Linked DNA regions of Anolis sagrei. The protein of the gene in region 3 interacts with the protein of the main gene of each other region in a pairwise test. Links are inferred from orthologs where the notes say so. Each region holds a gene or a part of one and is shown on either strand. Other genes may lie near its edges. The genes, in order: SFI1, TMEM100, CCDC57 and tyrosine-protein phosphatase non-receptor type substrate 1-like.

Region 1 (7,505 bases), on a different chromosome or scaffold from region 3:
GATCAAGAGGTGAGGGGAAGTTGGAGGCGGAAGCAGGCTTTTTTCTCCTGTCCTGGAGACTAGAACGTGGAAGAATGGCTTCAAACTCCAGGAAAGGGAATTCCACCTGAACATTAGGAAGAACTCCTAACAGTGAGAGCTGTTCAGCAGTCGAACTCTCTGCTCCGGAGGGTGGTGGAGATTCCTTCTTTGGACGCTTTTAAACAGAGGGTGGATGGTCATCTGTCAGGGGGGCTTTGAATGCGATTTTCCTGCTTCTTGGCAGAATGGGGTTGGAATGGATGGCCCACGAGTTCTTTTCCAACTCTATTATTCTATGATTCTATGAAACTTGGCACACAGATCCTTCATGACCAACCGAACATACTGGAGGGGTTTGGCGTGGACTGACCTACCCTCGTGGGAGTTGTGATGGACTTGAACCAAGTTTGACACACAGACCCAACAAGGCCAAGAGAACATTCTGCATCCAGAGAGCATAATGAATCCCAGCAATGACAGACATGGTGTAATATTCATAATTATGTCATATTTATATTTATTTATTTAAAAGTTTTATATACCAGTCTTCTCGCCTCCAAGAAGGTACTCAGGCTGGTTCACAACATGTGTTCATATACAGTAATATACAATACAGCACAATGCATCATCATTATATATTAAAATATAAGTACAATAAAAACATCATCATCACATTACACAAGCCAAGTTGTCAATACAGTCACAATTCATCGCCATCCTTCCATGTGGACAAGGGTTATTGACTCAATCCTCAAATGCCATATATATATTACATAAAGATATATTCACATATTTACAGAAATTAAAACATGCTTTAAAACATAATATTAGTAATCAAAAACCATTATAAGGATTTAATTAAAAACAGTCCACTTCTTAATAACAATAAATACTGTAATACTAAAATAATGACTACAAAGAAATATTCAAATATATAACATAAATTATACATCATATAATGAAATATAGTACAAAATTAAAATTATACCTTAAAATGATAAATATGCATTAAATATTATAATAATGTAATATCATAATACATGTTAATATAATAATAAATGAGAACAAACAAATCATTAAATAAAACCTTAGGCCTTGAAATATTAAAACATTATAAGTATTTAAAATATTATTTTAGTATTTAAAATATTTTAATACATAAAATATGTTAATATTTAAATTATTGCTTCAATCAGATAAGAGAAATAAATCATTAAATAAATTAAATAAACAAAATAATGCTTTTTCTTACCTTTTCTTTGAGGTTTTCTCCATCTAAATAATAATAATAAGAAAACAATAAAATATTAAAATAATAAAAATAATAAATACATAATAAAAAGATAAAGGTTTCCCCTGACATTGTCTAGTTGTGTCCCACTGGGGGGGGGGGGGGTTATCTACATTTCTAAGGTGAAGAGCCGGCATTGTCTGTAGACACCTCCAAGGTCATGTGGTTGGCATGACTACATGGAGCACCATTACTTTCCCGCCAAAATGATACCTATTGATCGATTCACATTTCCATGTTTTTGAACTGCTAGGTTGGCAGAAGCTGGGCCTAACAGCGGGAGCTCACCCCGCTTCCTGGATTCGAACCACCAACCTTTTAATCAGCAAGTTCAGCAGCTCAGCGGTCTAACCCACTACATAATATTAAACTATAATAATATACTTTAATAAAATTATTGTTTCATCACTTAACTTTTTAAAAAGGGTTTAAGAAGTTATTGAAAGAAACAATTTAAATAATTTAGAAATACATTTAAAATATAAATATATAGGATAAAAACATAGAGATTTTAGGATATTTATGACATTGAATCTGACTTTTTTGGTTTTACCGGCATGTATAATCTACTGTCTAATGAACTGTATAATGGGCTTGAATTATTTTTAGTGTTTTAATGGTTTTTAATGCTTTAATTGTACTTCGAATTGTTTATTTGTTGACATCGTATGGTGCTTGTGTGAGGCCGCCCTGAGCCATGAAATAAATAAATAAATAAAGAATCAGTTTATATACATAGTAAAAATCTAATAATATTTAATAACAAATAATAATAATACATTTAATAAATAATAAATATGAATAAGAATCAATAAAATATTGATAAATAAATAAATAAAATAATATTAAAAGCATTTATTAATATTTAATAATAAATAAAATAATAAACAAATAAATTAAATATAATTGATTTAAAATTTAAAAACAACAATAATAAAATAAATATTTTAATAATATTTAATAAGAATAAAATATAGAATATTGAACTCCAATACTGGAGAATCGGTTTATACACATAGTAACAATCTAACAATATTTAATAAGAATTAAATATGAATACTAATTAATATTTAAAAATGATAAAATACGTAATATTAACATTATTCTTTAAACCATTAAAGACAAATGCACTTTAATATTAGTAAAGGTTTACTAAATTCGTTTAAAACTTTGTTTTTAAAATATTTAAATAATGTATCCATACCTCTATCTATCTATAATAATAACAATAATAATAATAATAATAATGACCACCTCAACAAAAGTTTGCTCTAGGCACTGTCAGGCCATTATATGCTAATCAAGGTGGTCAGTTGAAACATTCACACCTAGCTCCAGCAGACAAGAGTCCTTTGTCCCACCCTGGTCATTCCACAGGTATATAAACCCTTTTTCCTAGTTCCAACAGACCTCACAACCTGTGAGGATGCTTGCCATAGATGCAGGCGAAACGTCAGGAGAAAATGCCTTTAGAACATGGCCATATAGCCCGGAAAAACCTACAACAACCCAATACTAATTTAATTGGAGAAATAGCTCACAAGGCCTCCCTCCTTCCAACGAATTCAAACTCGGAGAGTCCAACTGTCTATCACAAACGCCTAAAGCAATCCCTTTCCCTTTCCTTATACAAGAAACTTGTTAGAGTAAGACTTTAGCAATCGTGTCCGCACTATGAAAAAAAAACCGCGCTTTCACCTAGCTAGGGTTGCTATGGCGACGTAGCGAAACCGTCAGGCGAACACGGAGGGCACCTCGAACAAGGCTGTCCAAAAGTGGGGTCCTCCGATAGGAAAGCGGTTGGGAGTTTGCGCATGCGCACGATGTCTTTCGAGAGAGGCGTTCAGTCGCTAAGGCGAGAGCACATGCGCAATGGGAAGAAGCGAGAGAAGGGGCAAAACAGTGCCGCGCGTGCGCAAAAGGCAGAACGCAGAGGGAGAGGATTACGCTGCGCGTGTGCAGCTGAGAGGCAAGCCCTTGGACATGAGGGCCGTGCTGCGCATGTGCACGGGGAATGAGCGAGGAAGCAAGCGATAGCAGTGACGCGCATGCGCAAAAGGGAGAACGCTGAGGCGAGAGGCGTGTGCTGCGCGTGCCCAAAGGGAATGAGCGAAAGAGCGCGCGGGGAGGGGGGGGCGGACAGCGACGCGCCTGCGCGGAAAGGAGACTTCTGCCCACCAACGGCGCCTGATCTTCCGGTGTGTCCCCGGCAGGCCGCCGTCATCGGCGCCTGCGCGGCGGGCATTAAAAGGGGACGGGGGGCGGGGCGCGGAGCCTTCCTTCCTTCTTTCCTGCCTGCCTTCTTTCGGTTGATGGCGGATCCCGAAGAGAAAGGAGGAGCAGAAGGCCAAGCAGAAGCAGAGCAGCGCTCCCGGGCAGGCTCCGGAGGACCCCGCAGGTCGCGCGCCCGCGCAGGGGGCCTCTCTAGACCACAGCCCAGGTAGGCTCTATGGTATGGGAAGAGGCAGAAGAAGAGCAGAATCTATTATCCCATTATTATTCTGTTCTAGTAATATTCTCTAATATTATTAATATTTTCTTCTATTATTATGTAATACTATTCCTATTATTTTACTATTATGTTCTATGTTCTATTATTATCTACCATTATATTCAGCTATTAATACAGTATTATATTATTTTATTGTTGTTATTCTACTCTATTCTATATATTCTGTCATAGCTCCAACAGACAAGAGTTCTTTGTCCCACCCTGGTCTTTCCACAGATATATAAACCCCATTTATATACTATTATATATATATATATATATATATATATATATATTCTATTTATATATTATTATTATTTAATTACTTTATTTATTTATTTACTTTATTTATATCCCGCTGTTCTCAGCCCTTAGGCGACTCACAGCAGTTAACAACAAGAACAGCAAAAATTCAATGCTACCATAACACGGTATAAAAAACAGTTAACATCATAACATATTATAGAAAGGTATACAATTAACAACAATATACAATTAACACCAATAGCCATTATTATTATTATAGAACAGAATTGTTGTTATTCTACTCTATTCTATATATTCTGTCTTAGCTCCAACAGAGAAAAGTTCTTTGTCCCACCCTGGTCTTTCCACAGATATATAAACCCCATTTATATTCTATTCTATATATATATATATATATATATATTCTATTTATATATTATTATTATTATTTATTTACTTTATTTGTATACCGCTGTTCTCAGCCCTTAGGCGACTCACAGCGGTTAACAACTAGAACAGCAAAAATTCAATGCTACCATAACACGGTATAAAAAACAGTTAACATCATAACATATTATAGAAAAGTATACAATTAACAACAATATACAATTAACACCAATAGCCATTATTATTATTATAGTACAGCACAACGACAGAGAGGAAACAAACAAGGACGTCTAATCACCTCTCAACGAAGGATTGCTCCAGGCTCTGCCAGGCAATCAAATGCTAATCAAGGTGGTCAGTTGAAACATTCACACCTGGCTCCAACAGACAAGAGTCCTTTGTCCCACCCTGGTCTTTCCACAGATATATAAACCCCATTTATATTCTATTCTATTTATATATATGTGTGTATGTATATATATATATATATATATTCTATTTATATATTTATTATTAATATTTATTTACTTTATTTATTTATTTACTTTATTTGTATACCGCTGTTCTCAGCCCTTAGGCGACTCACAGCGGTTAACAACAAGAACAGCAAAAATTCAATGCTACCATTACACGGTATAAAAAACAGTTAACATCATATTATAGAAAAGTATACAATTAACAACAATACACAATTAACACCAATAGCCATTATTATTATTATAGAACAGCACAGCGACAGAGAGGAAACAAACAAGGACATCTAATCACCTCTCAACGAAGGATTGCTCCAGGCTCTGCCAGGCAATCAAATGCTAATCAAGGTGGTCAGTTGAAACATTCACACCTGGCTCCAACAGACAAGAGTCCTTTGTCCCACCCTGGTCTTTCCACAGATATATAAACCCCATTTATATTCTATTCTATTTATATATATGTGTGTATGTATATATATATATATATATATATATATATTCTATTTATATATTTATTATTAATATTTATTTACTTTATTTATTTATTTACTTTATTTGTATACCGCTGTTCTCAGCCCTTAGGCGACTCACAGCGGTTAACAACAAGAACAGCAAAAATTCAATGCTACCATAACACGGTATAAAAAACAGTTAACATCATATTATAGAAAAGTATACAATTAACAACAATACACAATTAACACCAATAGCCATTATTATTATTATAGAACAGCACAGCGACAGAGAGGAAACAAACAAGGACATCTAATCACCTCTCAACGAAGGAGTGCTCCAGGCACTGCCAGGCAATCAAATGCTAATCAAGGTGGTCAGTTGAAACATTCACACCTGGCTCCAACAGACAAGAGTCCTTTGTCCCACCCTGGTCTTTCCACAGATATATAGGCCACTTTCCTACTTCCAACAAACCTCACTACCTCTGAGGATGCTTGCCATAGATGCAGGCGAAACGTCAGGAGAGAATGCCTTTAGACCATGGCCATATAGCCCGAAAAAACCTACAACAACCCAGTGATTCCGGCCATGAAAGCCTTCAACAATACATTGTCATTACATTATTTTATTTTATTCTATTCTTTTATTGTATTTTAATTCTATTCTATTATTAATATAATCCTCTATTCTATTGTTGTTGTATACTATTAGTAATTATTATTCTATAATTATTTTATTCTGGTTTTGGAGGGAACATTATTATTATCATTCTATTATTACATTTTCATATATTCGGTTTTTTTTTTTGGGTCGTGTCAGGAACGACAAAAATATATTCGGATTTTGAATGGTATTTCTGTTGTTATCACCCTATATTATTCTATCTATCTATATAAATAAAAATGTAATGTTCGTTTGTGGGATTAACCTAACTCAAAAACCACTGGACAAATTGACACCAAATTTGGACACAAGACACGTATCAGGCCAACAAGTGACCATCACTCATAAAAACAGCAGGAGAAAATTAAAAAGCAAAAAAAAAAATACATTACAACGCATGTGCAAAACCACATATGCATACAAATACATATATACACATACACAAATATATACAGGCATACATATATGCACACTCAAAACACATACACAGAAAGGGGGAAGGAAGGAAATAAGGAGAAAAACAGGGAGAAAAAGAAGGAGAGAAGGAAATAAAGTGAAAGAGGAAAGGAAGGAGAGAAGGAACGAAAGAAAGAGGGAGGGAAGGAAAGTAAGAGACAAGGAAGGATGGAACCAAAGAGCAAAGGAAGCAAGAAAAGAAACAGGTAAAGAAGGAAGAAAGAAGAAGGAAAAGAAAAAGAGGGAAAGAAAGAAAGAAAGGAGAGAAAGAGGGAGGGAAGATTGGCCACAGTAACGTGTGGCAGGTACAGCTAGTTATTATTATTATTATTATTATTATTATTATTCCTTTGCGTTCTTATATTATTATTCTATCACATTATATTATGTTATTCCATTTTACATTACATATTATTGTATATTATTAGATTATTCTGTATTAAATTATTACTATAGTATTATCACATCACACCATTATTCCATTTTACATGTTATGTTATATATTATTGTATTATAATATTATTATATGTTATATTATTTTAATATCTTATTTTATTATTATTATAAGAATGCTAATAAATAATAATAAACTTTATATCCCGCCTCCTTCTCCCAGAAAGGGACTTGGGGCGGCTTACAAGGCACTCCAAGTGCAGTATATAACATAAAATGATAAATGAGTATTAAACATTGCATAAAAATTATAAAAGCAGCCACTATCAACACATAAAATAAAACAACACAATTTTAAAAACGCAGGCCATCTGTAGTTAAAACTAGCTACCATCAATTCTCACCTAAAGTGTCAACCTCAGATGGGCCCATTTCAGCCTACTCGAGGCCAAAAGCCTGCTTAAAAATCCATGTTTTTAGGGTGGATGGGAAGGATTCAAGGGTGGGGACTAACCTAATCTCTTTTAGGAGGTTATTCCAGAGCCGGAGAGCCACTACAGAGAACCCCCCCCCCTCATCCCCACTTGAGACAGTAGTGAGAGAAGAGCCTCCCCTGCCTGCCCATCTC
Region 2 (7,424 bases), about 29 Mb from region 3:
TTATAGAGTTGGAAGAGACCACAGGGGCCATCCAGTCCAGGAACACACAAAGCACTCCTAACAGATGGCCATCCAGCCTCTGCCTATAAATCTCTAGAGAAGGAGACTCCGCCAGACTCTGAGGCAGAATAATCCATTGTCCAGCAGCTCTTTCTGTCAGGAAGTCCTTCCCAATGTTTAGGTGGAATCTCTTTTCCTGCTATTTGAATCCATTGCCCCATGCCCTAGTCTCCAAAGCTGCAGAAAACAAGCTTGCCCACTTCTCAGTGCAACATCCTTTCAAATATTTTGATATAGCTATAATGCCCCCCCCCCCCGCCCCCAGTCTTCTTTTTTCCAAGCTAAAGATACCAAAAATTGCTACTTGTAGAGCTTGGGTTCTAAATTTTGATAATTTTGGTTGTTCTTCTCTGGATGTGTTTGAGCTTGTCCACATTTTTCAGAACTGGGCATGGTATTTCAGATGAGGTCTGGCCAAAATAGAATAGGGAGGGACTAGACTAGACTATCGCAACACTTCCTGTTCTTGCAACCTAGAATTGCATTGGCTTTTTAAGCTAATGCTTCTCACTGTTGACTCATCTTTAGTTTGTGATCTATTAAGACTCCTAGATCCCTTTCACACATACCGTTTTCAATCCAAATGTTGCCCATGCCATATCTGTGTATTTCATTATAATTGCCTAAATGTAATACCATACATTTTTCCCTGTTTAAGTCTTCTGAGTAATGGTAAGTTTCAGGACTACATTTCTTGGTGTGGCAAACAGCTGACATTGCTACTTCCCACAAGTATTGTGGAAGTGAAAGTAAAATCTCTTTGATTTAGGCTTTTAAGGTAAAGGTAAAGGTTTCCCCTTGACATTAAGTCTAGTTGTGTCCGACTCTGTGGGTTGATGCTCATCTCCATGACTAAGCCAAAGAGCCAGCGTTGTCTGTAGATGTCTCCAAGGTCATGTGGCCAGCATGACTGCATAGAGTGCTTTTACCTTCCCGCCAGAGCAGTACCTATTGATCTACTGACATTTGCATGTTTTTAAACTGCTAGGTTGGCAGAAGTTGGGCCTAACAGCGGGAGCTCACCCCGCTTCCCGGATTTGAACTTTAGCTCAGCAAGTTCAGCAACTCAGCCACTGTGCCACTGGGGGCTTCATGCTTTTACTTGTAGGTAAATACATGAAATTGCTAGGTGTTGTGATTTAACATTTCATCAAATGTCACCAAAGAAAAGAAAATTGTACATGGCAAATAAAGGAGCTGGTGTCTGGTCCCCTCAGACTTGCCTCCTGGAATGGATGATTTCTATTTAAAAGCAAAGAAATGTAAAAGAAAGGGACTTCATTCCTTGAGTCCATATTCTCATGAAATGAGACATGTTATACATGATGAAGTTCAGCCTCGTTTCCTAGCAGGAATCAGGCAAGCAACCAGCCAAGCCTCCCCCTTTCCTATTCTGTCTGTTGGCATTCTGTGGCCAACATATCTGGTCCTTCTATTTTGTGAGTTTTTTTAAAAAAAAACTTTTGCATGACCCATGTTTCTCCTTGCCTTGCTTGATACCTTGCTCTTCGTTTTGGCTGCCTTTCTGTCACCACTCACCACCTGAGTTCGCTATTCGAGGAAGCGATGATAAAAAGGAAAATATGCCAGTGGTATTCCCTCCAACTCCTTCGTAAGAAATAGATCTGCTCCCTCCTTCCAGCATTCTGGCTCATGGGGCCAAGCAAAACTCAGCCCTTATGTAAGCAGCCTTCCTGAGAGTAACTTGTCCTGGTCAATAATAGATAATTCTTGAGGGCGGGTGTCTTGCGAGAGAAAAAAAGACTGTGATTTTCTAAAGAAAGTCTGTATCTACACTTCTTTGGGAGACCCATGGAAGCTGTTCAGGACCCTGAACGAAAGCGCATCCGGTTTGTTTTCAACTAACGGAAACAAATATTGGGGGAAAAAGAGCTATTACAGGTTTTTCTTGTCAAGATTTGTTTGCCATTGTCTTTCCTTGAGGCTGAGAGAGTGTGATTTTTCTAGTGTCACCCATGGGTTTCCACAGCTGTGGAGGGATTTGAACCCTGGTCTCCCAAAGTCCTAGTTTAACACTCAAATTACTATTCCAGATCTCTCATCTATTTATATAGGAGCCCCCAGTGACACAATAGATTAAACCCTTGTGCCGTCAGGACTGAAGACCAACTGGTCGGAGGTTTGAATCTAGGGAGAGCGCAGATGAGCTCCCTCTGTCAGCTCCAGCTCCCCATGCAGGGACATGAGAGAAACCTCCCACAAGGATGGTAAGACATCAAAAACATCCGGGCGTCCCTTGGGCAACGTCCTTGCAGATGGCAAATTCTCTCACACCAGAAGTGACTTCAGTTTCTCAAGTCACTCCTGACATGAAAAAAAATCGTTTTAGATAGTGCACTCCAAGTGAGCAAGGCTCATAATTATTTATTTATCGTGTCAGGAGTAACCAAACATTTGTATTACATTTTTTAACAAACAGACAGACAAAACACAAAGTTTGCAAGCTTGGTAGTTGATTATATGTCCTTTGACCAATATCTGGCCAATAGGAGTGTCTCTGGTGTTGCTGCAAGAAGCGACCAGAAGTGAAGGCTCATAATGTACGTTGTTTATTTACTTATTCCATTTGTGTCCTTCTTTTCCTCTAATGAGTTTCTTTGTAAAAAAGAGGCTTGCTTTGGGTCTCTTTAGAAAGATAAAGCAGGATAGAAATAGTAATAATAACAACAACAACAACAATTCTTGCTGCCCAAGAACAGGCAATTAGAACAAATGCCATCAAAGCCAGAAATGAAAAATCGATGACAGAGCCCAAATGTAGACTCTGCAAGGAAGTAGAAACAATAGATCACATTGGGTTGTTGTAGGTTTTTTCGGGCTATATGGCCATGGTCTAGAGGCATTCTCTCCTGACTTTTCGCCTGCATCTATGGCAAGCATCCTCAGAGGTAGTGAAGTGTTTTGGAACTAGGAAAAAGTGTTTATATATCTGTGGAATAACCAGGGTGAGACAAAGGACTCTTGTCTGCTGGAGCTAGGTGTGAATGTTTCAGCTGATCACCTTGATTAGGATATAATGGCCTGACAGTGCCTAGAGCAAACTTTTGTTGAGAGGTAATTAGATGTCTTTGTTTGTTTTCTCTCTGTTGTTGTGCTGTTGTAATAGATCACATCCTCAGCTGCTGTAAGAAGATTGCGTAGACAGACTACAAGCAGAGGCATAACACCTTTGCTCAGATGATTGATTGGAACTTGTGCCACAAATATCATCTGTCTGTGACAAAGAATTGATGGGATCACAAGCTTGAAAAGGTTACAAAAAATGAGCAGGTCAAACTACTCTGGGACCAGGCATGTAGCCGGGGGGGGGGGGGGCCTCGGGGGGCTTCAGCCCCCCCCCCCCCGAAATTCTCATGGTGGTTCGTGAAAAGGCCTTACTGGCGCATTATTTAAACTGTTATGTTTATTCATATCATGATCTGATCACCATACTCAATATATCCCATATGCATGGGGGTATTGGGGTAATGATACAAAAGGTTTGCTAGGCTAGACCCTCTTTCACTCAGACTCAGCCCCCCCCCCCGAAACTCAGCCCCCCCCCGAAACCCCCCCTGAAAATTTTTTAGCCCCCCCATCCCCCCCCCCCCCCCCCCCGAAACGAAATCCTGGCTACGGGCCTGTCTGGGACTTCCAAATTCAGACTGACAGAGTTTTGAAGAACAATACTCCTGACTTCACAATCATGTTGAAAAACAAAGTATGGATCATGGATGTTGCAATCCCAGATGACAGCAGGATTGAAGAGAAACAACTGGAAAAGCTGACATGATATGAGGATTTAAAGATCAAACTGCAAAGACTGTGGTACAAGCCAGTCAAGGTGGTCCCAGTGATCGGCACACTGGGTGCAGTGCATAAAGACCTTGGCCTGCACTTAAACACAATTGGTGTTGACAAAATTGCTTATCTGCCAGCTGCAAAAGACCACCATATTGGGATGTACATGCATTATTTGCCGATACATCACACAGTCCTAGACACTTGGGAAGAGTCCGATGTGTGATCCAATACAACAGCCAGCAGAGTGTCTGCTGTGGACCCATCTTGTTGTGTTTCAAATAATAATAATAATAATAATAATAATAATAATAATAATAAAATTACTGGGGGCCTCATCAAACCGGATTCCAAAGCATTGAATCAAAGCAGTTTAAAGTGTGATAAAACTGGATTAATTCTGCGGTGTAGGTGCACCAAAAGGCGGCTCTGGTTTTGTTCAGCAAGTACCAGTTTGGGACTCCCCCCCCCCCCCCTCCCGTCAAGCAGAGCAGCGCGCGTTCCTTTGAAGCTGGGAACTTGTCCGCGGTCCCTGGGTTCCCTCTGCGGCTGCGCAGTTTGCAGACGCTCCCTTGCGCCTCTCTCCAGACCGGGGCAAGTGCTTGCTCGCTTTACTTCCATTCTGGACGAGGGAAGGTAAGTGGTGGGCTCCGCTGGGCTTCCTGGAGCGGGGAGAAGTTGGGGAAAGTTATCAAAGGTGGTTAGGTGAGGAGAGGGCGAAATATTACAGTGGTTTGGTGGCAAAGCAAGAAAGAAACTTTTGCCAGCAAGGAACTGAAAGTCCCCACAGGGGTCTGCAAAGTCTCTGCTCAATGGAAATGGAGATTGCCAGCAAATGGGAACTTGGTCTCTTCTTGCTCGGGAGCTTTCCAATACAAAGAACAAAAAAAAATTTCTGCTCCCTTTAAAACGATCCTTTTATATCCAAGAGAATGTGTTAATATTATTGTTGTTGTTGTTATCTGGCATACATATCTGGCAATCGTGGTTTTCTCCCTCCAGCCCCTTCTGCTTTGCCATATAATCCAGATTAACAAAGCAGAGAAAACATTTCATGATTCCACACTGACATATAATCCAGTTCAAATCAGATAATCTGGATTTTGTATGGCAGTGTAGAAGGGGCCCCAGCCTGAATTATGCACTCTTTCAATAGGCTGCAATTCTATAAATGCATCTACACTGTAGCGTTGATGCAGTTTGATACCACTTTGACTGCCATAGCTCAAGTGCTGTGGAATTCTGGGATTTGTAGTTTGGGCAGCGAAAACTAAAGACCCTTCCACACAACTTAATAACATCCCAAATTATCTGCATTGAACTGGAATATATGTCTGTGTAGATTCGGATAACCCAGTTCAAAGCAGATATTGTGAGATTTTCTGTCTTGGTATTCCGGGTTATATGGCTGTGTGGACGGGCCCCTTATCAAACTGCAAGTCCCATTTTTCCATAGCATTGAACCATGGCAGAAAAAGCGGTGCCAAGCTGCATTCATTCTACAGTGTAGTAGAGGCACCCTCAATTCAAAAAGTATTCAGCAGGTTAATGTTATTTAGCTATCCTTTAGTTGAAAGACAAGAGTTGCTGGTTTTGAACAGTTTCTTCCATTGGACTATAGATAGATAGATAGATAGATAGATAGATGATTTTTTAAAGTTAGGAAGAATGTGAACGGAAGAGAAGCATGGAAATTTGGTGAATCCTTTGTGCTCTGGATGTCGAAAACCCTTCTAACCTTGGCCCCTTCCACACAACTGAATAAAATCCCACATTATCTGCTTTGAACTGGAATATATGGACTCAAGATAACCCAGTTCAAAGCACATATTGTGGGGTTTTCTGCCTTGATATTCTGGGATATAGGGCTGTGTGGAAGGGCCTCTTGTCCTGTGCGCACAAGATTATACCTTTATGTAATACAATCATATATGACACAGGGAAGTGGTTACGTATGACAGCTTGGTTTCTGTGTGTTTGCTTCTTTGAATAGAGCATCTTCAATTATGTGGATCCGTAATCCACATATAATTTGGGCAGGATGGAGAGACTGGTGAGGTTATTTGTGTAACTCCTTCCCATACCCCTTTATGCAAATAATATTTTTTCCTATTTAGAAATAAGGCTGCAAGTATTTATATACATGTCATCTTGGAAGTAAGTTAGGAAGGGGTTACATGAGAGTAACATACTTTAGATTAGACTTTCTTAACTGCTAACACATTTTGTACCGAACAAGGTTTTTCAGATCTGACTTATCAATATTACTACTGATAACTAATGTCTTTAAAGAAGGGTCGGGAGCCAAACACACTTAGGATGCACCTATATTGTGGAATTAATACAATTTGACACCACTTTGACTGCCATGGCCCAAATCTGTAGAATCCCGATACTTGTAATTTGGTGAAGCATCAGCCCTCTTTGGCAGAGAACTCTAAAAAAAACTTGTAAAACTACAACTCCTGCAGCATTGAGCCATGGTATCAAACTGTATTAACTGTACAGTGTAGATGCAACCTAAGAAGTCGCACGCATCCCTTTAACCCCTCTTTGTGTGCAGTCTTATTGTAGTTATTCATGGATAGATTTTTTTTTCTGTGTCAGGAGCGACTTGAAAACTGCAAGTCACTTCTGGTGTGAGAGAATTGGCTGTCTGCAAGGAAGTTGCCCAGGGGATGCCCAGATGTTTTGCCATCCCGTGGGAGGCTTCTCTCATGTCCCTGCATGAGAAGCTGGAGCTCACAGACTAGGCTTACCCCACTCCCTGGATTTGAACCGCCGACCTTTTGGTCAGCAGTTCTGCCAGCACAAGGATTTAACTCATTGAGCCACTGAGGACTCCATTCATGGAGAGTGATGCTAACTCTCCATATGCTCAGTGGCACTTGTTTTTCTCACTACTTCAGTTCTCCAGCATTTTGTCTGATAGGAGTTTTGGAACTGAGCCGTGGTGTGTCATAGTGCAACACATTAAACCCAAATTGCTTTGATTCAAACCATTTAACATTGTTAAAACTGAAAACATAGAGACATAGTGAAAGACACATGAGAGTTTGGGAGCTTTGTAATTTAATTCAGGAAGATAAATGAAGGATAATAAGTATGCATTATGAATATGTTGTTGGATGTACAGTATTTGAGGATGGGTTGGGGGGCACGGAAATAATTCTTTGCAAAGTCAGATCTGGCAATGGTGACCCATGCCTTGATTATATCCTATTGGGACGACTAATGTTCTCTAAAGGCCCTTCCACACAGCCATATTACCCAGAATATCAAGGCAGAAAATTCCCACAATATCTGCTTTGAACTGGGTTATTTGAGTCCACCCGGCCATAGATTCCAGTTCAAAGAAGATAATGTGGGATTTTATTCAGCCCTGTGGAAGGGGCCTAAGTGGGGCTGCCTTTGGAAAGTGTTCAGAAACTTCCGCTTGTTCAAAATGCCGCAGCCAGGCTGTTGACCAGGGATCATGAAATAGCTCCATTGGCTACCATTCCATTTCCGGGCAGAATTCAAAGTGCTGTTTTTGACCTTTGAAGCCCTACACGGCTTGAGTC
Region 3 (6,891 bases):
ATTGTTTTGTTATGTATTGTTATGGCTTAAAATCATGAGTAAAAGTGTTCTCTTAAATTGGCAAATATATTCATAGGTGAAGGAAATAGGAAATAATGGAACAAAAGACTATGTGATGTAAGAGGAATCACCTGTGATGCTTCTCTGCAAAACTTAAAAACGTACTTTCTCTCAGATGATATTACAATACGGAAACATTAAGGCTGGATCTACACTGCCATATAGTATAGTTTCAGAACATGGATTAGCTGCATTGACTTGGATTATATAGCAGTATCGACTTGTATAATCCAGTTTAATGTAGTTAATCCACGTTCTGAAACTGCAATATATGACAGTGTAGATCCAGCCTAAAAATGTCTTCAATGGGAAAAAAGAGTGTTGGATAAAAGTGTGTCAAAACATGTATTTCCTGCAGTAGGAAACTAAGGCATAAAACCTTTTTTCTTCCTCCACAAAAACCCGAAAAGTGGGGTAAAGTGGAGCTGAACATGGCTTTTCATAAGAGTTCTGATGCAATGTATAGTCACTGAACTGGCTACATGGGGATTTCAAGGCTCACTTTCTTGTTCAGTAAGCCACAATGACCTGTCTGACTGGAAATGTTATGACTAATTTCCTACAGTGATTGCTCAGATTAACACTAATTTCAGCATTATAGAGAGTCACTTGCCAAAGGAAAATGTGTTCTCTTGAAGTATTCTGATTCTGAGAATAGAGCAAAGGGATACCAGTCATAAAATAAAATAAAATGTCCTAGAGGTTTCCTGTCTCTTTAACTAGAGTAACATGACACTAATTTCAAGAGACAGGAACCTCCTAGGACTGTAATTGTAATTTGTGTAGTAACAAGTTGATTACAAGGTGAGCTCAGAGATTGTGTTTCTGTTTCTTTGCTTAGTAGTGGCAGGCTAAAATGTTTGAAACTTTAGAAGTACTTTAGGCAGTGTTGTGGTAGTGATGGGGGAAAGAGTGGTTTTGTATTTATTCTATTGAGTCCCCATTTACACAAACTGTAAAATCCAGAATGATGTGGATTATAAGCAGGGACGGCTCATCCATTACGCGAAGTAAGCGGTCGCAGAACACTTTTTTTTGCCAGGGGCTGCTACCGGCTGTTAGGATTTGTGGGTGTTGCAGTCCAAAACACCTGGAGGGACAAAGTTTGCCCGCGTCTGGTGTAGATACACTGATAGAAGCACATTTATGAGTGCAAGTCTACATTCTCTTATTGAGAAGACACATATAGTTAGAGACATAGCTCAGAAGTATCAATGTACTTACTCTATTGATGCGGGGCTGGAATTAGGGTGCTTTTAGGCTTTTTTTCCCCAGCAAAGGAATTTTATGGGAATCAAGCCTATTATTTTCCTGTTTGTTTTACCACCACTTTGCGTTCTATTTTCCTATAAAAGGATTTTCTAATATGTTAAAGAGGAAATGGTTAATTGTTTAGGAAGAGGTACTTCTATCTTTTGCGTGCCTCTGAGCTGGAGGGGGGCAAGCGGGGGAGGAAGCTGGATATGGATGAGGAAGGTAGTGATTGTCTCATCAGTTCTAATCTCATGAGGATTAGATACCTACACTGAGGAAGGTTATTTAAATAGCAGTTAAATACTATTAGCTTGCTGGAGATCTCTGGTTAATCAGGTAAATTGTGGCCTTTTGTTTATCAAACAGCTCGATTCGCTATTAATTTCTTCCTCTTTATGCAATAAATCACAGAATCGCAGGGAAGCAGAAGACATTGTGTCCAAATTGCTGCCCTGCCTTTCACCCACATGATCCATCAATCAACTGAAAATTTAGTGTATCATAAGTACAAAGCCAGGTTTCTGCCAAAGACGGAGAGAGAAAAAGAGAGAAAAAGACTAACGGCACGTACAGAACAAATATCTCAGAATGATTCATATATCTGGGCTTGGCTGCTTGCCAAAAGGTTGCATTAGTTTTTCATACTTCCAGTAAGTAACCAAAACTTAAAGATGTAATGCTGCCTTTACTCTCACAGCTAATTTTATTATGATTTTGGGGTTAACTACAAGCAAATTAAACGTGAAACATGCACTTTAAGATCCCAATCTTTTATAAACTCTAAAGTAAATGTTTTCAGCCCTGATACAGATGAGGACTGGGGATCATATTTCCTCACCCAAAGCTTTTTGTTTTGTCACAGTGTCTAGCTGCTTCCTGACAATGCATCCATTTCATTTGCAAATATCTTAATTACTCAACAACGATTACTGTCTATAGATCCTACAAATTCAAGTTCACAACATATAAAATGAATTAAAAGCAATTGGATCATGTCATATAGGCAGTGTTTGTTTCACGTTTCCCCTCCCTAACACAGAAGTTTTCTCATTCTGACTGCCTCAAAAACAAAACAAAAAAACACAACAACAACAATGCTGTAATTATCAAAATCACACAGGTCATTTGCAATTAGCCATGTTGATTGGCATTGAGTAGTCTTGCAACTGCAAAGCCTGGCTGTTGCTTCCTGGGGGCAGCAACAGCCCCCAGGCAGCAACGCCAACCATCACCCATGTCAAAAAAAGAAACACAACTAAAGCTCTGACAGAATATGCAAACATAATATGCGAAGCCTACCTCCTCCAAGGTGAACTGAACCACCTTAACTGGGCTCTACAGACCAATGGATACTCCACTACAGACATCAGAAGAGCTGCAAGACCAAAAACAAGCCATGAGAGTAAAGACAAAGATCCACCCAAAGGAAAAGTATCTTTACCATACATTAAGAGAACCACTGACTGCATTGGGAAGCTGATGAAGAAACACAACCAATCTACAGACCCACCAAGAAAATCCAACAAATGCTACGTTCAGCAAAGGACAAGAGGGATCCTCTTACCTCTGCGGGAGTCTACTGTATACCATGCAGCTGTGGATAAGTCTACATAGGAACCACCAAGCACAGCATTGTCCAAACACAAATCAAAGAATATGAAAGACACTGCAGACTCCTTCAATCTGAGAAGTCAGCTATAGCAGAGCACTTGATGAGTCAAGCTGGTCACAGTATATTATTAAGAACACATAAATGCTGGACCACTCCAACAACTACCATATCAGACTACACAGAAAAGCCACTGAAATCCACAAACATGTGGACAATTTCAAGTGAAAGGAGGAAACTATGAAAATGAACAAAATCTGGCTTCCAGTATTTAAAAAAACCACCAGAATTAAGACAGTAAATAAAGAACACTAATCAGAAATGGGAATGTCAGACAGCTAACAATCAAGTTTCAGTTTATACCTCCCAAACAAAGGATGCCCCCAAGCAGCAACTGCCAAGCTTTACAGCTAATTGCATCACTCACACTGGCCAGCTAATTGCCAGCTAATTGCATCATTCACTCTGGCTTAAAACAGACAAGAGTTCTTTCTCCCACGCTGGGCATTCCACAGATACACCCCACTGGCCTCATTTCCAACAGACCTCTGAACAAACTTCTGAGGATGCCGGCCATAGATGCAGGTGGAACATCAGGAGAGAATGCTACTGGAACATGCCTATACATGAGTCCCCATCGGGGTTGAGAAGGGTGGTATACAAATACAGTAAATAAATAAATAAATAAATATCATTGCCCAAAAAACTCACAGCAACCCAATATTGTAGACCTCTGCAAGTCAAATTGCCTGGTACTTTTATGGATGTAAAATCAACTTTTGACTCCAGAGGTAAATTATGGGAAAGACTGGACAATATTTTTGTCAATGAATTACTTGCAGGCACACAATGACAACAGCAACCTCTGGAAGGAGGCAAATGGTGAGTATTCAAACACTGTTCAGTATAAAGTGTAGTAGGTTTCCTGGGAACGCCGTCTGTACGTCTTTGTGTTAAAACACTAACATCACCTGGTTTTGCTAAAGGTGCAAACCTATTTTTCCTTGAAATGTCAAATGCAAATAAAGTCTACAGTGCAATATAGTCATTCAGTTTGCTTTGTTAGAGATGGTTTGATCTCTGGTGTTAGTGGATTAGTTAATCCCTTCCCCCTTTTTGTCATGCTAATGACAGAGCAAAAGGCAGACCCAACAGCAAGACTTTTTGTTCACATGAAGGGCCTGTTATTCACAGAGAAAGTGGAGGTTAAACATTGATCAGCAGCAAAACCCCTCTTACAAGCAGCCGCTCCCAGAGCAACCAAACAGTGAGCAACTAAGCAATTAATCTGTGTAATTAAAAGTTGTAAATAGTCAATAAACCATTAAAACTATAAAGCTGTTAGCACAGGACTATAAAATAGTAAAATTGTGGGGTATAAAACAATAAAACTTAGGCGATAATATCAAACAAGATTAAGAATTCCTAGCAAAAGCAGATTTTCAGCAAAAAAGGGAAAAAATGCCATTCTAGTAATCCCTCAAAACTGTTAAATCTCTTTTTAAACAGGTGCAGTTTATCCCTGCGTCTTTTAATTATTCTTTTGAAAATTGTGACTCTTTTGAAAATTGTAAACAGACTTTTGGCCATTTTCAGTTTTAGTCTGCTCCTGACTGGATGATCAAGAGGAGAGGATTATTCATTTTTACCAATAGTTTATGAGAATTAATATCAGAGGGAGAAAGAGGCTAAGTCTGAACTACAGAGCTGGATTGTTATATACCTTGTGTTGTTAAAGACTTTCATGCCCGGATTCACTGGGCTGCTGTGAGTTTCGGGCTGTATGGGATGCCTACCATAGATGTGGGTGAAACTTCAGGAGAGAATGCTTCTAGAACATGGCCATACAGCCCGGAAAACTCACAGTAACCCACTGTTACATGCTTTACATGCCATTACTCCAGACTCAGACTTTGTAAAAAATTGAAGATTCCTCTTAGGGCCCTTCCACACAGCTGTATAACCCAGAATATCAAGGCAGAAAATCCCACAATATCTGCTTTCAACTGGGATATCTGAGTCCACACTGCCATATAGTCTAGTTCAAAGCAGATAATGTGAGATTTTATTCAGCTGTGTGGAAGGGGCCTTATTACCCTTTTATGGTGATGATTGAGTATTATCTCAGATCCATTTTAGTAGCCTTTTTGGGTACTTCAAGGGTTGCTAGGCTACCAACTCTATTTGGATGCTATTCATTTATTTAAATTCTTGTTGCTGTGTGCTTTCAAGTCATTTCTGATTTATGGCAATCCTAAGGCAAACCTATAATGCAGTTCTCTTGGCATAATGTTTAAGTGGGGGGTTGCTTTTGCCTTTGTCTTCCTTTGAGGCTCAGGGCCCTTCCACGCAGCCCTATATCCCAGGATATCAAGGCAGAAAATCCCACATTATCTGAGTGTGGACTCAGTGCCCTTCCACAAAGCCCTATATCTCAGAACATCAAGACAGAAAATCCCACAATATCTGCTTTGAACTGGGTTATCTGAGTTCACACTCAGATAATGTGGGGTTTTCTGCCTTATTTTTCTGGGATATGGGGCTGTGCGGAAGGGCCCTGAGACTACAAATGATTATTTAGATGTATACTACCAATAGAGAACCAATGTGTCACAGTGGCTTGAATGTTGGGCTAGGGGCACTTCCACACAGCCCTATATTCCAGAATGTCAAGACAGAAACTCCCACATTATCTGAATGTGAATTCAGATAACCCAATTCAAAGCAAATATTTTGGGATTTTCTGCCTTGATATTCTGGGGGGCCTTCCACAGACCTATATCCCAGAAAATCAAGGCAGAAAATCCCACATTATCTTTGAACTGGGTTATCAGAGTCCACATTCAGATAATGTGGGATGTTCTGCCTTGATATTCTGGGATATAGGGCTGTGTGGAAGGGCCCTTAGTTTCAGAGGAAAGCAAAAGCAACCCTCTCTGAACAAACCTTGCCAAGAAAACTTCATGATAGAGGGCACGTAACAACAATCCTCAGATAGGCCTCCAACATAGAATACTATGTGAATCTGGTTTACTTCTTGCTTACTGTAACACAGGTGAATATATTTCTTGTCAAGTGTGAGGTAGGGGAAGGAATAGAGAGATACTTGACAAACATACAGTATAAGAATATCAGAAGATTCCTTCAGTGTTAGGGCAAAAGTTCATTAGTCAGTATTCCACTTTCTGCAATGGCTGATGCTTGGAAAGATTTTGCAAAAGTACCATGAAGAGAAATAGTTGTCCAGTGTGGTTAGTCATTATAGTGGCCAGAATACTGGATGCTGACCTATACCACTGTGTGTAAGCCTCACTAAGCCACTGAACTTTTTATGGCCTTAGACTCCGATCCTTGGATGGTGTGTTTTAACATAGGAATGCATTTTAATTATTTGTAATACGTATTAATTTTAATCCAATTTGTTTTTAAGTTAGTATTCTATGTTTTTAAGGCACTGTGGAGATGCCACCTGTAAGCTGCCTTGAGTCCCCCTTGGAGTATAGAAAAACAGGAATAAGGTAAAAAAAGTGTAGCTTTGGGGGCATTTCATTGTATTTTTCCTCAATATTTTAATTTCACACTACATCCATTGTATATTGTCTAGAAATCTTACTGGGAGTATCTCTACTTTATTAATTGGGAATTTACCTTGCCATTTTTTCCAGCACTCCAGGGATGAGATCATTGGCCCCCTTTAATTTCTTTTAGAGTTTTATTGTCAATCCATCCTTTTAAGCACAAACAATGATCCCATCCATTAATTGTTTTTTTTTTCCATTCTGGTCCATCTTCTTGAATCATCAAAATCTAATTCTATCAATCTTGTTAACTGATAGGCCTCAAAATAATTTTGCAAATTAGGTGTACCCCATCCTCCCATCCCTTCTGGAGAGTAAAATATTGAATTGGGAATGTATATATTCAAGGTTTCAGATGAGCACATATGATCAAATGGCTTCTGGTCCCTT
Region 4 (7,474 bases), on a different chromosome or scaffold from region 3:
TCTCATTCATAGGTATGCCATAAACTGAAGGTCTGTCAGTTTATCATAGAGTAGCCATAAATTGAAGTTGACTTGTCAGCAATCAATCACAACACTATAGAAATGAATAGATTCAACACAGTCCTGAGTTTGCAAGACCTGAGCAGTGGACTCTCATTCATACGGATACCATAAACTGAAGGTCTGTCATTCATAGGGATACCATATGCTCAGGTTGACTTGTCAGCAATGAATCACACCACTACAGAAGTGAATAGATCTAACATACTATTGAGTTTGCAAGACATGAGCAGAGGACTCTCATTCATATGGATGCCATAAATTGAAGGTCTGTCATTCATAGGGTTGTCATAAACTGAAGTTGACTTGTCAGCAATGAATCACAACACTACAGAAGTGAATAGATTCAACATAATATTGAGTTTGCAAGACCTGAGCAGTGGACTCTCATTCATAGGTATGCCATAAACTGAAGGTCTGTCAGTTTATCATAGAGTAGCCATAAGTTGACTTGTCAGCAATCAATCACAACACTACAGAGGTGAATAGATTCAACACACAGTCCTGAGTTTGCAAGACCTGAGCAGTGGACTCCCATTCATAGGCATGCCATAAACAGAAGGTCTGTCAATCATAGAGTAGCCATAAATTGAACTTGACTTCTCAGCAGTGAATCACAACACTACAGAGGTGAACAGATTCAACACATAGTCCTGAGTTTGCAAGACCTGAGCAGAGGACTCTCATTCATAGGGATGCATAAACTGAAGGTCTGTAAATCATAAGGTTGCCATAAACTCAAGTTGGCTTGTCACCAATGAATCGCAACATTACAGAGGTGAATAGATTCAACATACAGTCCTGAGTTTGCAAAACCTGAGGCAGGGCTGTTGATAACAGGGAGAGGTGGAGATCTTTCATTCATGAGAACATCATAAGCCGAAGCTGACTTGGCATTGATAAACCACAAGGCAACATTGGGGCAATGCCAGCCCACCTTATATGGGAACCATATGGAAATGCACATCAAATGCTCTTTGCCTGTTAGAAAGCCATGGATGGAAGTGGCAGAGATGATCATCACGGCCATCGCCACCTCCTTAATTTGATAACAAACTCACAAGATAAAGCGCCTTATCTCCCCAGCCTCTTTCCGCTCTGCGCCTCCTTGGTTGGCAAGCTCGGTGGGGAAAGGGCACCTCCTCATCATCTCACAAATGCCAGATGGACTTCGCAGTGTCCTCATCACCAGCTCTGCCCCCATCTTTCCCAGATTTGGCACCTCCTTGCCACTAAAAACCCTTTGCCTTTTCCTTTGGCACCAAAGAAAATATTGCCCTCCACATGCGGGCACACACAACCCAGCACCAAAACATAAACAGGCATTTTTTGGAGGGTTGAAAGCAATTCTTATTCCAAGGTTGGATGGCAGCAACTCATCCACTTTGTGTTTACTCCGAAAGAGGGTCCTTTAAGAAAAGGCAAACCTACGCAGCAGCAAACCCAAAACAAGCTGTTAAAAAACCCCACAAACACACTTTGCCTGTTATACAAGAGGGGAGAATTTGGAAGTAAGCAAAGGAGAAGGATTATACAAGAAGGGAGATGCGGAGAAGAAGTCCAGGAGGAGAACAACAAGGAAGGGGATGATCAAAGTCAAAACCAAGAGATGCATCTTTTGCTGAAGACAGGAGGGGGAAAATAGCCAAAGAAACAAACCCACAAGTAAATGCATGAACTCCGAAGAGCCTTACCTGACCATCTCGAAAGCAGCAGTGGTACCCAGAAGCAAATCAGCAGACCTTTGGAATAAATGCCCGGAGCAGCGTCCATGTTCATCTGCTACTGGAGAGGAACCAGGAGAGAAGAAGAGAGGGGCAGAGAAAGAGAGAGAGAAAAAAAGAGTTGCATGAAAACAGAAGAAAGGAGAGAGGGCTGTTTTGTGTAAGGCAGGCTCTCTTCTCTTTTTTGCAGTGTGAAGGGCAGATGAATCAGGGGAAGGAGGGAGGGAGAGGAGGCGAAGCACACACATGCATACGACATCACAAGTCCATCCCCAAAATGAGGAAGCCAGCCCCACTTGGCTTCCTCTGTCAACATAGGAAGAAAAGAAGAAGAGGAAGAGGAAAAAAAATCAGAAGGAGGGGGAGAAGAAGAAGAAAGGGGGAGGAGGGGAAGAAAGAAAGAAAGAAGCCGCCAAGCCCTGCCCCAACCTATTTTTACCAGCTGATGAATCAGAAGTTTGCCACCCTTCCTTCCCTTTCAGATAAAGAAAAGCTTGCAAATGAGATATATTTTCTTTTTCAAAAGGAGGGGGTGGCATTTGTATGTGTGTGTGTGTGTTTGCATGGAGTGGGGGAGAGAACAGCACATGATGCATTGGCCAAGTCTGCAACACCCTTGAGCATGTCTGGCAAGACACGTACACAAACACAGGAAGAGAGAGAGAACGAGAGAGAAAGAGAGAGAGAGAGAGAGAGAGATTGGTGCCCACTCACCTGGCAGAACATTGATGCGCAGCGCATAGATTTGTTGGCATACACTCTGGGGAGTTTCAGGGGAGACTAATGATAGCCAAAGGGGGGTTGCAGAGAGGCTGGGATCAAGGTCCTTGGGTTCAGTCACTCACATGCTAAGCCCGGGGAGGGGAAGGAGTGATGCCCCTTTCCTGTTCCTTCTTTGTATTTCTCTTGCAGGAGAATATCTTCCAAGGAAGCCAAAAAGGCACCAGGCGGGCCAAGCCTGGCAGCTTCTCTCCTCCAGAGCAAACTGGGGGGGAGGAAAGAGAGGGGAAGGATCTTTCTTCTTCTCCCCCAGTCCCCCTTTTCTTCCTCTTCCAGAAGAAATCTTCCCAAGACAGTGCCAAAGAGTGCCAAGGCAAGCTTCTGTTCCTTCTTGGTATTTCTCTTGCAGGAAAATCTTCCCCAAGGAAGCCAAAAAAACACTAGGATGGGCAAGCCTGGCAGCTTCCCTCCTCTAGAGCAAAATGGGGGGAGGGGGAAAAAAGGGAGGAAGAAGGGTCTTTCTTCTTCTCCACCAGTTCCTTTTTCTTCCTCTTCCCCAAGAAAGTGCCAAAGAGTGCCAAGGCAAGCTCTCCAAGCCAAAAGTAGAAGGGGGGGGGGGGATAAGGAGGAAAGGTCTTCTCTTATGATCTTGCAGGAGAAGAAATCTTCCTGAAGGAAGCAGAGAGGATGCCAAGCGTGCCAAGGTAAGCTCTCTAAGTTGGGGGGGAAAGAGGAGGAAAGGCCTTCTCTTCTTATCAGTCCCCCTTTCTTTTTCCCCTTGCAGGAGTGGAAATCTTTCCCAAGGAAATAGAGAGGGTGCCAGGCGTGCCAAGGCAAGCAAGGTGCCAGGCGTGCCAAGGCAAGGGGGGGGGGGGGGGAGAGAGAGAAGGAGGAAAGAGAGAGAGAGAGAAGGAGGAAAGATTTCTTATGATCAGTCTCCTTTACTTCTTCCTCTTGCAGAAGGAGAAATCTTTCCCAAGGAAGCAGCAGAGAGGATGCTAGGTGTGCCAAGGCAATTCTCCAAGTGGGGGAAAAAGAGAAGGAGAAAAGGTCTTATCTTATGATCAGTCCCCTTTACTTCTTCCTCTTGAAGGAGAGGAAATCTTCCCCTAGGGAGCAGAGAGGGTGCCAGGTGTACCAGCTTGGGTACTAGCTTTCTCCTTCGGGGAGAAAAGGAAGGGGCAGAAAGAAAGGTTTTCTCCAGCAGTGCCCTCTTCCTCCTCCTCTTCCAAGGAGAGGTCTTCTTCTTCTTGCCCAAGGAAGCAGAGAGGGTGCCACTGCCAGGTGTACCAGCCTGGGTACTAGGTTGCTCCTTCGGGGAGAAAACAAAGGGGCAGAAAGAAGAGTCTTCTCTAACAGGCACCTCTTCCAAGCAGAGGTCTTCTTCTTCTTGCCCAAGGAAGCAGAGGAGGTGCCAAAGGTGCCAAGGCTAAGTCAGCCTGGGCAGCTTCCTCCTCTGGAGCAAAACGTGGGGAGAAAAGAAAGGGGTAAAGGAAGGGTCTTCTCCAGTACTGCCCTCTTCTTCCTCCTCCTCCAAGGAGAGGTCTTCTTCTTGCCCAAGGAAGCAGTGGAGGTGCCAAGAGTGTCTTCTCCAGCAGTACCCTCTTCTTTTTCTTCCTCCTCCTCCAAGGAGAGGTCTTCTTCTTGCTCAAGGAAGCAGAGGAGGTGCCAAGGGTGTCTTCTCCAGAAGTACTCTCTTCTTCTTCTTCCTTCTCCTCCAAGGAGAGGTCTTCTTGCCCAAGGAAGCAGAGGAGGTGCCGAGGGTGTCTTCTCCAGCAGTGCCCTGTTCTTCTTCCTCCTCCTTCTCCAAGGAGAGGTCTTCTTCTTGCCCAAGGAAGCAGAGGAGGTGCCAAGGGTGTCTTCTCCAGCAGTGCCCTCTTCTTCCTTCTCCAAGGAGAGGTCTTCTTCTTTCCCAAGGAAGCAGAGGAGGTGTCAAGGGTGTCTTCTCCAGCAGTACCCCCTTCTTCTTCTTCCTCCCGCTCCAAGGAGAGGTCTTTTTCTTGCTCAAGGAAGCAGAGGAGGTGCCAAGGATGCAGAGAAGGTGCCAAGGGTGCCTGTGTTCTCCAGCAGTGCCCTCTTTTTCTTCGTCCTCCTCCAAGGAGAGGTCTTCTTCTTGCCCAAGGAAGCAGAGGAGGTGCCAAGGGTGTCTTCTCCAACAGTGCCCTCTTCTTCTTCTTCCTTCTCCTCCAAGGAGAGGTCTTCTTTTTGCCCAAGGAAGCAGAGGAGGTGCCAAGTGTGTCTTCTCCAGCAGTGTCCTCTTCTTCTTCCTCCTCCTCCTCCAAGGAGAGGTCTTCTTCTTGCCCAAGGAAGCAGAGAAGGTGCCAAGGGTGCCTGGGTCAAGTGTCCCTCCTGGCAGGCTCCCTTCCACCGAAGGAGAGGGCAATCAAGGGGGCAGAAGGGTCTCTTCACCTCGGTGCCCCCCCCCCCCCGGGTCCGGTGCCCTCCCGCGTCTCTCTCTTCAGCCTCCCGCCTTCCTCTCGGGCTCCTCTCCCTCTCTCCCCCCTCCGCCGTTGCCTAGCATTGAGGGGCCTCCGGCTTTCTTTTCACAATGTGCCACTTCAGGGGGAAAGAAAGGGGGGTGTTCTTTTTGGGGGTCGGGGAGGGGGGAGGCCTGCCCAGCGTCCTCCCCAGCGGGAGACCGAGCCCAAGCTTTTCCCCAGCCGCTTTGGCGAGTTTGCTGGACCCGAGAGAAGGGAGGAAGAGAAGGGAAGAATCTCTTGCAAAGCAGGGGGATGTGGGAGTCTTGTGGTCGGGCCGGCTTGCTGTCCTCTCCCTCCCGGGCAACTTGTTTTGTTTGGGAGGCTTCTCTCTTTCTTTCTTTCTCTCTTTCTGTCTGTCTTCCTTTCTTTTTGGTAAGGTCACCCCTGCCTGCCTGGCATCAGCCGCACATGGGAGGGGGGGCCTTAAGGTGGGCTGGAAAGGATAGAGGGATGGATGGATGGAGGGATAGATGGGGACAAGGGGGGGAAACGCCCCCGCCTTGGTGGCTCTCCTGCTTTTAGGAGGAAGGAAAGGGAGGGAAAGGAGGTGAGAGAGAGGCAAGAAGAAAGGAGGGAGGAAAGGAGGAGGAGGGGAGGGGAGGAGGAAAAGAAAAGGCAGAGCAAAGGGAGGAGGAGAGGAAAGGAGGGAGACGGGGCAAAGAAGGAGGAGAGAAGGAAAAGAAGGGGAAAGACAAGGAGGGAAAGGAGGAGGGGGAGCAGCAGGAAAAGCAGGCGGAAAAGAAGGAGGAAAAGAAGGCGGAAGAGGAAAAAGGAGGAGGAAGAAATAGAGAAAGGAAAGGAAGGAGGAAAAAGAAGGCAGAGCAGAGGGTGAAGGAGGAGGAATAGGAGGAGGAAAAGAAGAAGGGAAAGGAGATAAAGGAAGAGAGAAAAGAGGGAGAAGGAAAAGAAGGCAGAAGAGAAAAAAGAGGAGAAAGGAAAAGAGGAGGGAAAGGAAGGAGGAAAAGAAGGCAGAGCAGAGGGTGAAGGAGGAGGAATAGGAGGAGGGAAAGAAGGAGGGAAAGGAGAAAAAGGAGGAGAGAAAAGAGGGAGGAGGAAAAGAAGGCGGAAGAGGAAAAAGGAGGAGGAAGAAATAGAGGAAGGAAAGGAAGGAGGAAAAGAAGGCAGAGCAGAGGGTGAAGGAGGAGGAATAGGAGGAGGAAAAGGAGGCATAGAAGAAAAAGGAGGAGAGAAAAGAGGGAGGAGAAAGAGGAGGAAAAGAAGGCAGAAAAGAGGAGAAAGGAAAAAGAGGAGGGAAAGGAAGGAGGAAAAGAAGGCAGAGCAGAGGGTGAAGGAGGAGGAACAGGAGGAGGGAAAGAAGGAGGGAAAGGAGAAAAAGGAGGGGAGAAAAGAGGGAGGAGGAAAAGAAGGCGGAAGAGGAAAAAGGAGGAGGAAGAAATAGAGGAAGGAAAGGAAGGAGGAAAAGAAGGAAGAGCAGAGGGTGAAAGAGGAGGAATAGGAGGAGGAAAAGAAGGAGGCATAGAAGGAAAAGGAGGAAAAGGAGGGGAGAAAAGAGGGAGGAGAAAGAGGAGGAAAAGAAGGCGGAAGAGAAAAAAGAGGAGGAAGGAAAAAGAGGAGGGAAAGAAAGGAGGAAAAGAAGGCAGAGCAGAGGGTGAAGGAGGAGGAATAGGAGAAGAGGAGGCATAGAAGAAAAAGGAGGGAAAGGAGGGGAGAAAAGAGGGAGGAGAAAGAGGAGGAAAAGAAGGCGGAAGAGAAAAAAAGAGGAGGAAGGAAAAAGAGGAGGGAAAAGAAGGAGGAAAAGAAGGCAGAGCAGAGGGTGAAGGAAGAGGAATACGAGGAGGAAAAGAAGGCGGCATAGAAGGAAAAGGAGGAAAAGGAGGGGAGAAAAGAGGGAGGAGAAAGAGGAGGAAAAGAAGGTGGAAGAGAAAAAAGACGAGGAAGGAATAGAGGAGGGGAAGGAAGGAGGAAAAAAAGGAAGCAGAGCAGAAGGTGGAGGAGGAGGAAAAGGAGGAGACATCGAAGAAAAAGGAGGGAAAGAAGGAAAAGAAGGGGAGAAAATGAGATTGGAGAGTTACCAAAAAGGAAGAGGGAATGGGGACAAGTAGGATGGATGCAAGATCAAAAAAAGGAGGAATAAATGGAGGTAATGAGAGATAGGAACGGAAAGAAGGGGAATTAAGAGAAAAAGCAACAGAAGATAAACAAGGAAGGAAAGAAAACAGGAGGGAGGAGGACCAGGAAGAAGAGGAACAGAAGGAGGAAGAGGATACAGAAAGAAGAGAAGGGACTGAAAAGAAGAAGAGGAATTTTATGTGCGTGCACACACTTCATTCAGTTGGACACAGCTGAGCATATTGAAGAAAAAGTTATCTCTGGAGACAACTCAGGGCAGCCAGTGGCCTCAGTGTCAGGCCTGAAGTTCAAGGCTAGAGAGCTGAGAGAGCACCTTGGAGAGATTCTTTGCAACCCATTGTAATGTCGATCCCAGTTCCCTTGTATGAGTAGGCACACCCCTCTTCCAACTTTGGTTCT

What was found.
Region 1: the proteins of CCDC57 (region 3) and SFI1 interact in a two-hybrid assay, tested with the Homo sapiens proteins (2 studies listed by BioGRID). The two-hybrid records come from large-scale screens. The link is inferred for Anolis sagrei from reciprocal best matches to the Homo sapiens genes CCDC57 and SFI1.
Region 2: the proteins of CCDC57 (region 3) and TMEM100 interact in binary tests that used the Homo sapiens proteins (3 or more experiments, as listed by UniProt). The two-hybrid records come from large-scale screens. The link is inferred for Anolis sagrei from reciprocal best matches to the Homo sapiens genes CCDC57 and TMEM100.
Region 4: the proteins of CCDC57 (region 3) and tyrosine-protein phosphatase non-receptor type substrate 1-like interact in a two-hybrid assay, tested with the Homo sapiens proteins (2 studies listed by BioGRID). The two-hybrid records come from large-scale screens. The link is inferred for Anolis sagrei from reciprocal best matches to the Homo sapiens genes CCDC57 and SIRPA.

Annotation. Positions count from the first base shown.
Region 1 is NC_090034.1:49,408,920-49,416,424, forward strand, and holds the start of SFI1 (protein SFI1 homolog), read right to left. Parts: upstream 3,005-7,505; 5' UTR 2,750-3,004; coding exon 2,723-2,749; intron 1,297-2,722; coding exon 1,274-1,296; intron 1-1,273. UniProt on the Homo sapiens protein: Plays a role in the dynamic structure of centrosome-associated contractile fibers via its interaction with CETN2.
Region 2 is NC_090022.1:143,440,594-143,448,017, reverse strand, and holds the start of TMEM100 (transmembrane protein 100), read left to right. Parts: upstream 1-4,401; 5' UTR 4,402-4,497; intron 4,498-7,424. UniProt on the Homo sapiens protein: Plays a role during embryonic arterial endothelium differentiation and vascular morphogenesis through the ACVRL1 receptor-dependent signaling pathway upon stimulation by bone morphogenetic proteins, such as GDF2/BMP9 and BMP10.
Region 3 is NC_090022.1:114,236,403-114,243,293, forward strand, and holds the start of CCDC57 (coiled-coil domain-containing protein 57), read right to left. Parts: upstream 3,013-6,891; 5' UTR 2,879-3,012; intron 2,690-2,878; 5' UTR 2,614-2,689; intron 1-2,613. UniProt on the Homo sapiens protein: Pleiotropic regulator of centriole duplication, mitosis, and ciliogenesis. Critical interface between centrosome and microtubule-mediated cellular processes. Centriole duplication protein required for recruitment of CEP63, CEP152, and PLK4 to the centrosome.
Region 4 is NC_090024.1:239,827,582-239,835,055, forward strand, and holds the start of tyrosine-protein phosphatase non-receptor type substrate 1-like, read right to left. Parts: upstream 3,002-7,474; 5' UTR 2,526-3,001; coding exon 2,499-2,525; intron 2,428-2,498; exon of another isoform or gene 2,224-2,427; intron 1,846-2,223; exon of another isoform or gene 1,843-1,845; coding exon 1,755-1,842; intron 1-1,754. UniProt on the Homo sapiens protein: Immunoglobulin-like cell surface receptor for CD47. Acts as docking protein and induces translocation of PTPN6, PTPN11 and other binding partners from the cytosol to the plasma membrane.